3 linked regions of the Saccharomyces cerevisiae S288C genome follow. The protein of the gene in region 2 interacts with the protein of the main gene of each other region in a biochemical or structural test. Each region holds a gene or a part of one and is shown on either strand. Other genes may lie near its edges.

Evidence for each region. The genes of interacting proteins can lie anywhere in the genome.
Region 1: of the proteins of CDC5 (region 2) and BFA1, one has a biochemical effect on the other in vitro, tested with the Saccharomyces cerevisiae proteins (7 studies listed by BioGRID).
Region 3: of the proteins of CDC5 (region 2) and NUD1, one has a biochemical effect on the other in vitro, tested with the Saccharomyces cerevisiae proteins (3 studies listed by BioGRID, with this or other methods).

Annotation. Positions count from the first base shown.
Region 1 is NC_001142.9:532,237-536,311, reverse strand, and holds BFA1 (Bfa1p), read right to left. Parts: upstream 2,286-4,075; coding exon 561-2,285; downstream 1-560. Other genes in the region: KCH1 (Kch1p), read right to left, coding at 1-256; UV-damaged DNA-binding protein RAD7, read right to left, coding at 2,553-4,075. UniProt on the Saccharomyces cerevisiae protein: Part of a checkpoint which monitors spindle integrity and prevents premature exit from mitosis. This cell-cycle arrest depends upon inhibition of the G-protein TEM1 by the BFA1/BUB2 complex.
Region 2 is NC_001145.3:268,459-272,686, forward strand, and holds CDC5 (polo kinase CDC5), read right to left. Parts: upstream 2,679-4,228; coding exon 561-2,678; downstream 1-560. Other genes in the region: YMR001C-A (uncharacterized protein), read right to left, coding at 2,889-3,119; MIX17 (Mix17p), read left to right, coding at 3,735-4,205. UniProt on the Saccharomyces cerevisiae protein: Protein kinase required for the cell cycle where it is involved in mitotic exit. A component of the fear (CDC14 early anaphase release) network which promotes CDC14 release from the nucleolus during early anaphase. Phosphorylates SCC1/MCD1 and NET1.
Region 3 is NC_001147.6:1,035,146-1,039,949, reverse strand, and holds NUD1 (Nud1p), read right to left. Parts: upstream 3,117-4,804; coding exon 561-3,116; downstream 1-560. Other genes in the region: aldehyde dehydrogenase (NADP(+)) ALD4, read right to left, coding at 1-110; NDD1 (Ndd1p), read left to right, coding at 3,479-4,804. UniProt on the Saccharomyces cerevisiae protein: Involved in astral microtubule organization by binding SCP72 to the outer plaque in a cell-cycle dependent manner. Required for the mitotic exit by facilitating the binding of TEMP1 to CDC15.

The DNA.
Region 1 (4,075 bases), on a different chromosome or scaffold from region 2:
AACCGCTAAACAACCATTTGGATATTTTAAAGGGTAAGTATGGTTTGATGATGTTGTTTGACCAGGAGTTGAATGCCAGCAATTTGATACATGTGTAAATGTCAGAAACAAAAAGGGCGAGTTTTAATCCATTCCACCCAACTACACCTATTATGTAATTTAAAACAGTTTTGAACTTGTGGTTTCGAAATAATTCAATGTTTAAATCGGCGAAAGTCTTAGAATTAATGGAGTACTTCCAATCATGGTTAAACATTTTTGATTTTCTGTTCCTGCTAGTCAAATATTCATGAAATTACCAAAGTGTTTGCTAAACAAACCATAAAGATCTGTTTTAATAATCATCAAGGGCTCTTTTGTTTGAAATGTTAATGTGTCCCTCATGGTCTATTTTCATTTGAAACATCTATTCGAATTTTCTGCAACATTTCTTTTTCTGTCAGACGCGAAATGTCGGCGAAAAGTTGACACGATTCAAGGTTCTATCTAATTTTGGAATGTAAGAGAAATGAATGTACTCAAGATAACGGTAAAGAAACAGTTATAAGAAGGCTAAAGGGCTAATCTTTTGTCGAATTGATTACCATGTTCCTGATTTCATACATATAGGATTTTCTCTTGCTATTGACCGTACTTTCATCCATGATTGTTTCCTCATCAACACTGATAATGGTCTCATCTCGGGGTATAAACCATGAGGCTAACTTTTTACACCACCTGTTCTCCTCGTGGTAAAATTTTTCCAATGCTCTTGAACTCAAATGGAAAGTAGAGCTTATTTCTGGAGTTTCTGTTGTACCGTTAAGTGTCCTCATTGAATGGTATTTACGGAGTCTTGCTTGAGCAGCCGTACTTTGATAAACGCCATCATTGTCATTTGAAACAAATGGCGTATTAACTTGGCTTTTGGAACGCAAAAATGGTGAGGAGCTACGTTTTTTCATACTTTTGCCAACTGGTGGTAAGTTTATCTCAGGAATGCCTGCAAAAGGGTCTGCTTCTTCCTCTGAAACACTAACCCATCTTAAATTTTGTTCATCTAAAATCATGTTCCCGATGACCTTTTGATTTCTCGAAGTGGCTCTTGCATGCTGTAGATCAGAATATTTTTGCTTCTTAGAATCTGCATCTCGTTGTAGCTTGTTTTTTATCAATAAAGCTTTCCTGTTTGCCGTGTCTACATCACTAAATTTGCTTAAGACGTTTTCATTTCCTTCCCACTTCATAGTTTTCGGGTTATATATCATAGAACCTTTCTTCATTGGAGTATTATGATCAATTTGCTGTTTTATTGTTTTGATTTTAGCTGGACCATTGAGTTGTACATTTTGATTAGAACAGTGTCTTACTGATCGTTTTTCTTTAAAAGAGTCCAGTTCCTGCTGGGTATTCCAATCTCGTTGTCGCCTATGAAGACCTGGAGTTAATAATTCGTCATGCTTTACTATATCATATTGTGCAGGTGATATTTTTAATGGCAAAGATGAGGATGACTTCTTTAAGAAACGCGGATGGTCGGCACTTTCTTTATCGTTCGAAGAAATCGTTTCATCAATTGCTTCACCCTCTAATTCTTCAAATCCTGTCAGAAAGTCACCTTCATCATCTGAACTGAATTTCGCCAAAATTGTGTCCTGCGTATCGTTATCAATCTTGTAATTAAACTCTCGTTGATCTTCTCTTTCTCGTTCTTCGTCCTCTTCTTCTTCTCTGATAGCTGGATTAACTAAAGCTAAGTTAGGCATAGATTTCTTAAATCTTACAGAATTACCAGACCTTAAGTTTCTTGAAGTGACGCTATTTGATAGTTTTCTTTTTGGTTTCAATTCCATCATTGATCTAGGTTGCTTTAGCCTTGGTTTATCTTCCAAACTCAGTTTTCTATCAAACTCTTCTGCGAAAATGTCGTTTTTGAAAGGGCCAGTTCGACATCCATTTCTCAAATGAAAATTTGTTTTAATAGCATCGTCAAAATCATCCTTTTTATTTTGGAATTCCTGGAAGTCATTTAGAAATTCATCATCCTGGTCTACCTCCATGTCCTGATCATCGTCTGCTTGCTTATTAGACCAAAACGCGCTGGTACTATTGGAAAATACCGTGCCAGTGTCAGAAGTACCTACCGAGGATGGAGGCGGTATATAAGTTGATGTACTCAATGGTGGCACGTTTTCTTCCAAAGTTAATGTTTCATGGGATTGAAAGCGAGGTAGAGTTGTATTCAGTTCTTCAAAAGAGGTTTCTGGCTCATCTAAACCGTTTAACGTGAGAGGCCTAATTGACATAGCATACAAAACTTTCAACTGCTACAAAAGTTTTCGAACTTTTTTCTTTACGTCAAACTTCTCGTTTTTTTCCTTTTATCTGCGCTGAATACATAAGTTTACACTTTTTTTTTTACTATTATTGTTTGTTTATTATTCGCGAGATGCCATAAAATCCCTTCAATAGAAAATAAAGGCAACATTTGACGATCTGAGTATAATAGGAATAAAAACATTAGTCAATTTTCCGTTTTCTATCTAATACACGTTTTATATGTCTTTATTTTATTATATACTGTCACTCTGTCTCCCTATCAACGTAAGTCCAGGCCTCATTGTGGCCTTTTCAGTAACCAAATTGTCTCCGAAAACATCAATTACAGTTAAATTCGGATTTTGCTCACCCAACATTTGAATCACCGAGTCATCAACACAACGTACAAAACCAAGATCAAGATACGTCAGATTAGGACAGGCTAACGCCACAAATGCCTCCTTAGTTAGCTCTTTTAATGAATTGAGATTTAAGCTTCTCAGACTATCTCTTGCTCCGTTAAGCAATAGCTCTATAATTGCCATATCGCCCAATTGTAGACATCTTCTAAAGCTGCATTCAATCAAATTATTCAGTTCTACTTTGCTGAAAAAGTACGACAGTGAATCTGTAGTGATCTGATCTGATTCTTCCAAGCTCAATACCTCCAATGGACATTTCTCAGGAATGAATGCAGTCAGACCATTGATTATCATTGAATCTGTCAAGTCAATACAGCCATTCAAAACCAATTTACGTAACGTGCGCCCGATTTGACCTAGCAGATTTATGATGATCTCATCGTTAACATCCTCTTCATTGAATGGATATTCAATACAGAGACTGTGAAATTCGTCGTTGACTAGGTACTGCGGTAATAAAGCGTAATTTGATATAGAATCTAGTCTGGATAACCCTAAGGATACCAAGGTAGAACCGCAGTTGATCAATAAATTAGATAATGATTTGTCGGTGAAGCGGTGCGTATTAGAAATGTGGAACTCTTCTAATCTACCTTTCATTATTACAAAGAACTTCTCCCATGTGTCCTCGTTGATCAGAAATGGTCCATCTAAATTCAGTGATTTCAAGTTCGGAAGCTTTTCAGCAATGTAAAGCAATGATTCATGGTTCAACTGCCCACACATTTGTAGGGATAATTCGGTTAGGTGTGGCGAAAAAATGGCTAGCGTTTTGTAACCATCAAATGAAATTTTAGAACAATCGCTGAAAGTTAACCTTTTTAGATCTGTCTTCAAGAAAAGTTGCAGAGTATGATCATTCAGGGCCCTATTCTTCGATAGTGCTTTTGCCAAATTATTCAAATTAGCGGTTGATACGCCACCAAGGACATCTCTCAATTTGTTAAATACCAACTTTGATGATTCATCAGCCTCTTTTTGCCACTTGGATATATTTTCACTAATTTTCGTAATACAAAGACTTTGTAAGCTGGATACTTTGTTGACGCGTCTATCCAATAGGTCAGCTGCTCTTTTACGCTTTCTGCGACGATTTTGGATAATTTTTGCAGTATTTTGCCTTTTTTTAGTCAATGATTCCCGGTCATTAGCCGAACTTAAACTGACTGGCGTGTCAGAAATGTGGCTAGTTTCATATTCTTCTTCATCACTATCAGCAGGGACTAATTTCATCCTGGCATCGTAGGAAACCTGAGCTCTTTCTGTCTCGGTACCACTACCTGTTCCAATTTCATCAATTTCTTCATCTTCAACTACTCGAGATATCTCGGCAGTAAAGCTATCATCCTCCGCTT
Region 2 (4,228 bases):
ATAAATCAGGATTTTTTGGATTTTAACTAGGTAACAAAGAATTAGCAAATAACTGCCCATAATAGTATTCTTAAGTTTGTAGATACATGTCAAGTAAGCCAGCTTTTGATAAAACTTAAAAATTGGTAAACCGCGGATGTACCAAGTGAATAGCTTTCAAAATTAATGTTGTCACTCTTCCAATGGGCACCTGTAAGAATAATTAAAAAGAAATCTAGGTTCAAAACAATATTTTTGAGAAAATCTCAGGAAGCGACAGGTTATCATCCCATACATACAATATGAATACAAAAGCATGGCAATTTTGAATAGATATAGCTCTAGAACCGCTCAGGCGAAAAAAAACGCTATATGAGAACTATTGAAAAGGAAGAACTAACATGAAAGATGTTTGTTCATTTCGTACCTTTAGAAAAAGGGTATTAATGCTAGGGGTAAATATTATATATTATCTTCGTTAAGGGCAAGACCATTTATTTTATTTAGTATTAGTTATTAATGGGGCCCAATCAATGGACTGGTAATTTCGTATTCGTATTTCTTTCTACTTTAATATTGGTTTAATCTACGGTAACAATTGTGGACTTCTGCTTCAAACCTTCCTTTATCAAAGTTAGTTTCTCTCTAAAGTTACTTTCTGGATATCCTGGGATCTCGCCATATTTTAGTACTTCAACTAAGGGATATGTGGTGCTTTCATGGGAGGGAGAAATGTAGGTCACCAATTTACCTCCGTCGGATATTGCCATTTTATGATGATCTTTGAAATTGAACTGGAAAGTACCATCACTTAGTTCAAACATAACAAATGGTTTATACCTTGTGTATCTTCTCAAAAATACATCATCTTTATGATATTCTTCTCTGCCAAACGTAGATACTCGGCTCAAATTTGCCTTCATGTACTTGGCAAAAAAATCAACTACTTCTAAATGTCTACTTAGCTCTCGTGGTTTTTCGCTCAATAAATAATGACTTGCTACCCAACCTTCCCGATCGTCATAACTAATATACCAAAACTCTTCTGCATCTGCCAATCGGAGAACTGTGGTGCCATTATTAAATAAGACACCAATATCCTCTGTTGATAACTGATAGGAGAATCCGTGTTTGTTGGAGTAGTCGACCCACTTGGTAACTATCATTGGGTGTTTAATTTTAGGCAATCTTGATTTCGGAAGACCTCCCATTTTATACTGAGCTTCTGCTTCTACAATGCCATTCAAAGTAAGATGACACTCACTGGCTAATATTCTCAAGGAGATTTCTGATTTAATGACATTGGTCGATGTAGCTATTAATTCTTTTCTCAAAACGGCCTGTTGTGCTCTACGTATCCTTGCTTCACGAGCCAAATCGTTTAATCTTCTTTGTGCCTCTATATCAACAACCTCCTTATATTTCTGTTTCGTCCCGCCAGGGGATAAAGAATGTGGTAAAAATGGTCTGTTTTGGTGGTACTCTTCTAGTTTATCGATACTAGATTTAATTGAAGAAATATAATCCCTCTTTTGACGCTGAATTTTATCGCTGCTCATGCTTTCTAATAGTAGAGATTTTTCCATGCAATCTTTGAAGTTAACCAGTGACTGCTCTTCAGGAATATCCTCAAAATTTGGTGCTTCTGACATGACCGTCGAAGGAATAGATGGTGGGAAAGTTCCCCTAAACCATACATAATCCATAATTTCAGTCAAAGAGGGCCTTTCTATTGGATCTAAGGATAGAATGTCTCTTATTAAAATCTTACCTTCATCTGAGATTGGTTTATCTCTTGGAAACGAAAAATCACGACATTTGATTCTTTCATAAATAGTGTTTACATCTCTTGCTTGGAAGGGTGGCTTACCAATCAACAAAGCATAAAGCATAACACCTAATGACCAAATATCTACTTCAAATGAATGTCCAGAATGCTTACCCATCAACACTTCAGGTGCGATGTAATTAGGTGTTCCGCATATGGTGTATTTACGTTCACTTTCATTCGCCAACACAGCTGCCAGACCGAAGTCACCAATCTTTAAGTTATAGTTTGAATCGAAGAAGATGTTACCAAGTTTTAAATCTCTATGTATAACTCTTCTTGAATGCATATACTTAATTGCACCACATATTTGAGTGGTGAAAAATCTAACTTCTGGTTCTGTTAAAACTTTTCTTCTTTTTAGTAATTCCATTAATGAACCGTTGGGGCATATCTCCAATAAGATATAGACATTGCTATCATCCTCAAAACAATCAATAAACTGAACGATATTTGGATGGGACATACTTTTATGAATTTGAATCTCCGACAACAACTTTTTTCTTGTCTTCTCTGATTTAATTGAGGCTTTAGCAACTGTTTTGGCAGCAAAAATTTCGCCTGAATCGTCCTTAATTTGGAAACAGCGAGCAAATCCACCTTCACCTAAAAAATGACCTCGGTGATAGTCTTTTCCTCTTGTTTTGATTAATGAAGGTGGTGTTTTACACAAAGCTGATAACTTTTCCCTTTTCTTTTTTTGAGCTGGCTGGTGGTGATGATCATTATTCGGATCTAGTCTCTTTGTTTGTTTAAAGTGATTTTCTTTTCCTACGAGGTCTGCGGTATTTCCCTTTATTGGGGTGTGAACTAACTTGGAACGGGTATTCAATTGCTTATCATTGATAGCTTTAAGAGGACCCAACGACATCTTTATTCGACTTGATCTTACTCTGTTCTTTCTTCTCCACGGCTGTGATTTTTATTCTCTATGAATAACAAATGTAACGTTTATCGATGAATGAAAGAGAGTATATATAGAGAAGATATAAGAAAGCCAATGTTTTTGTGTACAAAAAATAATACTCAGCTCAATTATACAAACTTGACTATGCAGTTTAGCTTTTTTGTCTTTTCTTTTTTAAGTTTTCTTGAAAGTTAATGTAGTATATGCCACAAAATTGAAGGATGAAAAAATAGGAAAAAAAGCAGAATCAGAATTTGACACAAAAGGCTTATTGTTCTTTGAAACTGCCGCTTGAATTGGATTTACTTTCTCAGTGATTCTATATGTATTGTACGAAAGTTGAGTAGCACAAGAGTAACTGTTCAAGATATGCCTTGTTTCAAAGGATGTACATTCAAAGATCATCCCAGGTCCTCGAGATATTTATTCGTTCTATATTTTGGATTTTCTTTATTGGGTTTGTTTTGTTTTGACCCTTTTAGGTAATATCTTTTGACAGAGAAAAGTCCAAAAGTTCTTCCGGGTGATGCTACATAATGCCCTACCCGGGCAACATATAGAATAAGGTATATAAAGTAATAATATGCAGTGAAGTTACCACCGGGTAACGCATCTAGAACAGCTGAGATGAAAGAGGATAGGCTTGATCGCAGATTTTGCCCGCCCTATCTTTTCAATGTTCCTTCAACAATAACATAAATTTTGATGTAAAAATATGCTGGCGTCCTCGTACGATTCCCTCTTCATTTATCACAGAAGATGGTGATGATTCTACACATCTGGAAGGCAATAACAGTGCAACTTCATTTTCCGAGGTTCGGTTATGTCATGTGTGCTTTTATACGGCAAACGCCACCTTGAACAAAGGTATAAAAGAAAAGCGCTTTTTCACTCCACCGCAATCTCCGCGACCTATATAAGCCTATCACTCGTACAGTTTATAACCTTTAAGAAAAAGGATTAATATTTCGAACAAAGAACAGAACAAGAAAAGCAACAACAGCAACAAAATTCTAAAATATGGCACGTTCAAGAGGATCATCAAGACCTATATCGAGATCGAGACCTACTCAGACAAGGTCCGCTTCTACCATGGCGGCTCCAGTTCATCCACAACAACAACAACAACCAAATGCCTATTCACACCCTCCTGCTGCAGGTGCCCAAACGAGACAGCCAGGTATGTTTGCGCAGATGGCCTCCACTGCTGCAGGTGTTGCCGTTGGTAGCACCATTGGACACACCCTAGGTGCAGGTATTACCGGTATGTTTTCCGGATCCGGGTCTGATTCCGCTCCTGTTGAGCAACAACAGCAAAATATGGCCAACACCTCCGGCCAAACCCAAACGGACCAGCAGTTGGGAAGAACTTGTGAAATAGACGCGAGAAACTTTACACGTTGTTTGGATGAAAACAACGGCAACTTCCAGATATGTGATTATTACTTGCAGCAACTAAAAGCCTGCCAGGAAGCTGCACGTCAATACTAAGTTTAAAAGCTCAAAAATTTAGA
Region 3 (4,804 bases), on a different chromosome or scaffold from region 2:
TTGGGCAGCTTGATAGGCACTGTCATAGGAAGGTGTGAGAAATATCTCAATTGAAGTCTCCCAATGGAGGATGCAGACGTCTTTAAGCAGAGCGTAGATCTACTGAACATGCTTTATTTATTTTTGTTATTGTAGTTTTCTTGGTTGGTTTTCCAGATACTTCTAATCCTAACACCCAAGAATTTTTGAGGAAAGGAGAGTGAAGTCAATTGTCACCGACAAACCCCCCCCATTTATATAACCGCCGAACTTCCATTTTCATTACAAATTTCTCCTCATTCTGCTTACCTACACCCGCCCCTCATTTTCCATCTCTGTTGGAGTTGGAGAAAAAGATACCTGTGGACGGAAGTCCCGCATCGCTGGATAACAGCCGTACCGTCGCCCGGGCGGGGAATCATACCAGCAAACAAAAATGAGGGGGAAATGACATCATGTGCGGACGGTACTAAAGGATCAAAAGAATGAATGAATGAATTGTTACACAAAACGGTGAAATTGTTACATACATTTACTAATTACATACATTTTTAGTACTGCGTACGGGTATAGTTATGGGGTTACAGATTCGTGGCAGTTGGGGCAGGAGTGTCATCTAACCAGAGGGTCGCCAGGGCGGGACATTGCTGCTGGCAGAGGCCAGCAAGCTGGAGCAACTGCCGGTAATGCAAGCTCGTGCTGGCGCGATCGTGGCGTGGTGTCGTGATTGGGTTATTTCGTAGATCAAGAAATTTTACTGATTGGCGTGGGAGAGTTTTTGTTAACTTGTGTGCGTTTTGTAGGTTGTTGCCTGGCAGATGTAGCTCTTGCAAGAACGGTAGTTCCTTGGAGAGGTCCACTGGTAAGTGTGTGAAGTCTCTAACATTAGCTATAGTTAGAGAATATAAGTTGGTGGATTTTAGAGAAGAGAATCGCGGCAAAGAGGAGGCCAGGCCGCCGTTGATCTCCAGAATTTGCAAAGTGGCAGGCCATTTTTGCCATTTGCTAAGTTGAGCGAAGCCGTCCAGTTTTAGAATCTTTAGATTTTGGTAGGGGAACGTGAATTGATCATCCAACTTGTAATTTTGTAATTTGGATAGCGCGCCTCCTGTATTTTTGATGGAAAGCGCTCTCAACGTTCCGTTCTCCATCTTAGAAGATTCCACGATGGAAACTAGCGGGTTACCATTGAGGTTTAAAACCTTCAGGCGGGGCAAGCAATTGATGTTTCTTACGCCAATTATGTTATTGTTGCTTAGATCTAAGACTTCCACGGTCAACCAGCCGCCCACGACAGAGTTGTTTGTTAGTATCAATTGTTCGAAATCGATGATACCATTAATCTCGTTGTTAGAAAGGTTCAGTTTTTTCATCCTGGAGGATCCTATCCCTTCTAAGGATTGGATGGAGTTGTAAGAAAGGTTCACCTCTTGCAGGTGATGACAAAGTGACAAAAATTTTAAACTTGTATTCAAGAGGTTGTACGATAAGTCGAGGCATTCCAGATCGTGGAATCCGGCTAATGAACAATGTGCGCTCGTTATTTTGTTGTTTGAACAAAATAGCTGTACAACGTTCGAGGGTATACCTTCTAGAGTGTTCATTTCATTGTCACTAAGGTTTAGCACTAATACATTCGGTAGTAGTCTTTGCATGCCAAACATATTCTTCAGTTTGCCCCTTGATAGGTCAACTTTCAGGATTTTTTCCCAATCGGAATCATAGCTTGGAGAACCAGATAGTTTACTAGTCAAGATTGATATTAGCTGCTTTTCAGTTTCGTTGAACGAGGTGTTTACTTCGGAAATGGACGTAATATCTTCAACCCGTTCAGCGGGGAAGGTCTTTAGTTTCTTGTGAGCTTCTAGTAGATTGGAATTAGAGATTGAACGAGAGGTACGCATTTGTCCTTTAACCTTCGCTCTAGTGCCATTTTTCGTAAAAAGGTCATTAAATTTTGGTGTGTCTAGGGGCGTGTCATCGCTATTTGCTAGATTTTCTTCTTCTTGTATTTTCTTTTGGCGGTAGCCAACATCACCTGGTTTGGTACTGGTTAATTCATACGCCTTCTTATCTAGAATTGAAGGTGCCTTACCGTTAGTGTGATTATCTCCAGTTGGTACCATTGTGGCGAACTGGGACTGGTTGGAAGATGTATTGTCCAGAGAATGTGAACTCGACACATCTAAGCCCTGGTTCAGCGGCGGATCCCATGCGCCGTGTGTATGGTTAAACTGATATCCCAATTGACCGGGTGAAATAGTGTTCAATGGAGGTTTCTTGAGAACTTTTGATTTTCTGCCTGATTGAGTTTGAGAGGACGACATGGATGACGATGATGAAAATTCAAAAGAATTGGAAGTGTCCTCTTCGTCCTCCTCCTTCGTTCTAGCGTTATCCTTATTATTAATATTAATACTATTATTATTATTATTATTATTATTATTATTATTGTTTTTGTTGTTGCTATTACTTGGATAAGAACCCACCAAATAATTCGATTTTTGCTTTTGTAATATGCCATCAAATACATCATGTGCCTCAGCTGCTGGGCCAGAATCGCTGTCATCAGAAAACGACGATGAGACCTTCTCAGCGTTAAAGAAATCTTTAGAATGTGAAATACTAATCGTATCATGGTTTTCATGGGTCTGCATAGTAGTAGTTTTATTCTTCATATCTAAATGTCTTTTAAATGTATTTGTTTCAAGAACTCCAGATAAATCCTTAACCAAGTCGCTCACAATGAGATCCGATTCAGGAACTTTGTTTGCAGTACCAACAGCGCCACCAAAGTTGGTACCACCGCCGCTACCAATACCAGGGAAATACTGCTTCCATTGAGCTTCTTGATGAGATGTAGCAGTCGTGCCTGAAAAACCTGACGGCACTTTCTGATGCACCGTGCTATAGTTGTTCAAAACTGTCATTGTAGGAGGTTTTTTGACAGAATCGGATATTGCAGGTTCCACAACTTGGGAAGTAAAATTTGAATCTTGAAAATCGTGGTTACTTTCATATTCCTTAAACACTTTACCACTGTTACTGTGCGCGTTCGAGCGTAGCTTTCGTGGTGAATTTATTGTAAGATTCTCCAGCTGGCTCGATAGTTCTGCCTCCTGCGTATCCATATCCATTTCGGTATGCTTTTACTATTCAACCTAGTCGGCAATTTTTTCACCTGAATATTGTTGAACACTTCTGGCATCCTAGATACTCATCTGTATTTATTCATTATCTGTTGTGCATCGTTAATAGCATTCCAGTAAACAAGTTTAGGTCACTACCCGCATAAGCCTTTTGGCGTTTGGCGTAACCCTCCTCGCGAAAAGAAACGGGACGCAAAAAAAAAAAACAACAAAACAAGAACAAAACAAAACAAATAGGACAGAGCCTTAAGGAGCTGCAAGGATCTTCTGAATATTTGGCATCGGCATTGTGGGTGGAAAAAGTGTCCAAATTGGAATAAATTGGTCAGAATAGAGCATTGATTCCAACTATGGACAGAGATATAAGCTACCAGCAAAATTATACCTCAACTGGGGCAACTGCAACTTCCTCAAGACAGCCCTCTACGGACAATAATGCAGATACAAATTTTTTGAAGGTAATGTCAGAATTCAAATATAATTTTAACAGTCCGTTACCTACAACGACTCAATTCCCCACGCCCTATTCTTCTAATCAGTATCAACAGACTCAAGATCATTTTGCCAATACAGACGCTCACAACAGTTCGAGCAACGAATCGTCGTTGGTAGAGAACAGTATATTACCGCATCATCAGCAGATACAACAGCAACAACAACAACAACAACAACAACAACAACAACAGCAAGCTCTAGGTTCACTTGTACCTCCTGCTGTCACAAGGACAGATACAAGTGAGACTTTGGACGATATCAACGTTCAACCTTCTTCTGTTTTGCAGTTCGGCAACTCTTTACCCAGCGAATTTTTGGTTGCATCCCCAGAGCAATTCAAAGAATTTTTGTTGGACTCTCCGTCCACCAATTTCAATTTCTTTCACAAAACTCCGGCAAAGACACCACTTCGATTTGTAACAGATTCTAACGGTGCTCAGCAAAGCACCACAGAGAACCCAGGTCAACAACAGAATGTTTTTAGCAATGTCGATTTGAACAATCTTTTGAAGAGTAATGGAAAAACACCCTCATCTTCATGCACCGGCGCATTTTCACGCACTCCTCTGAGTAAGATTGACATGAATCTCATGTTCAATCAACCGCTGCCGACATCTCCATCAAAAAGGTTCTCCTCCCTGTCGTTGACACCATATGGAAGAAAAATTCTGAATGACGTCGGTACACCTTATGCAAAAGCATTGATATCGTCTAACAGCGCGTTAGTGGATTTTCAGAAGGCAAGAAAGGATATTACCACTAATGCAACATCCATAGGGCTGGAAAATGCCAACAACATCTTACAGAGAACGCCGCTAAGATCTAACAATAAAAAATTATTTATTAAAACCCCCCAGGATACCATCAATAGCACTAGCACACTAACTAAGGACAACGAAAATAAACAGGACATATACGGCTCTTCACCGACTACCATCCAATTAAATTCATCAATAACTAAATCTATCTCCAAATTGGATAACTCTAGAATTCCCTTGTTAGCTTCGAGATCAGATAACATTCTGGATTCCAATGTGGATGACCAATTGTTTGATTTGGGGTTGACAAGATTACCTTTATCACCAACACCAAATTGTAATTCTTTGCATAGTACAACCACAGGTACATCTGCCTTACAAATTCCTGAGCTACCCAAGATGGGGTCTTTTAGAAGTGATACG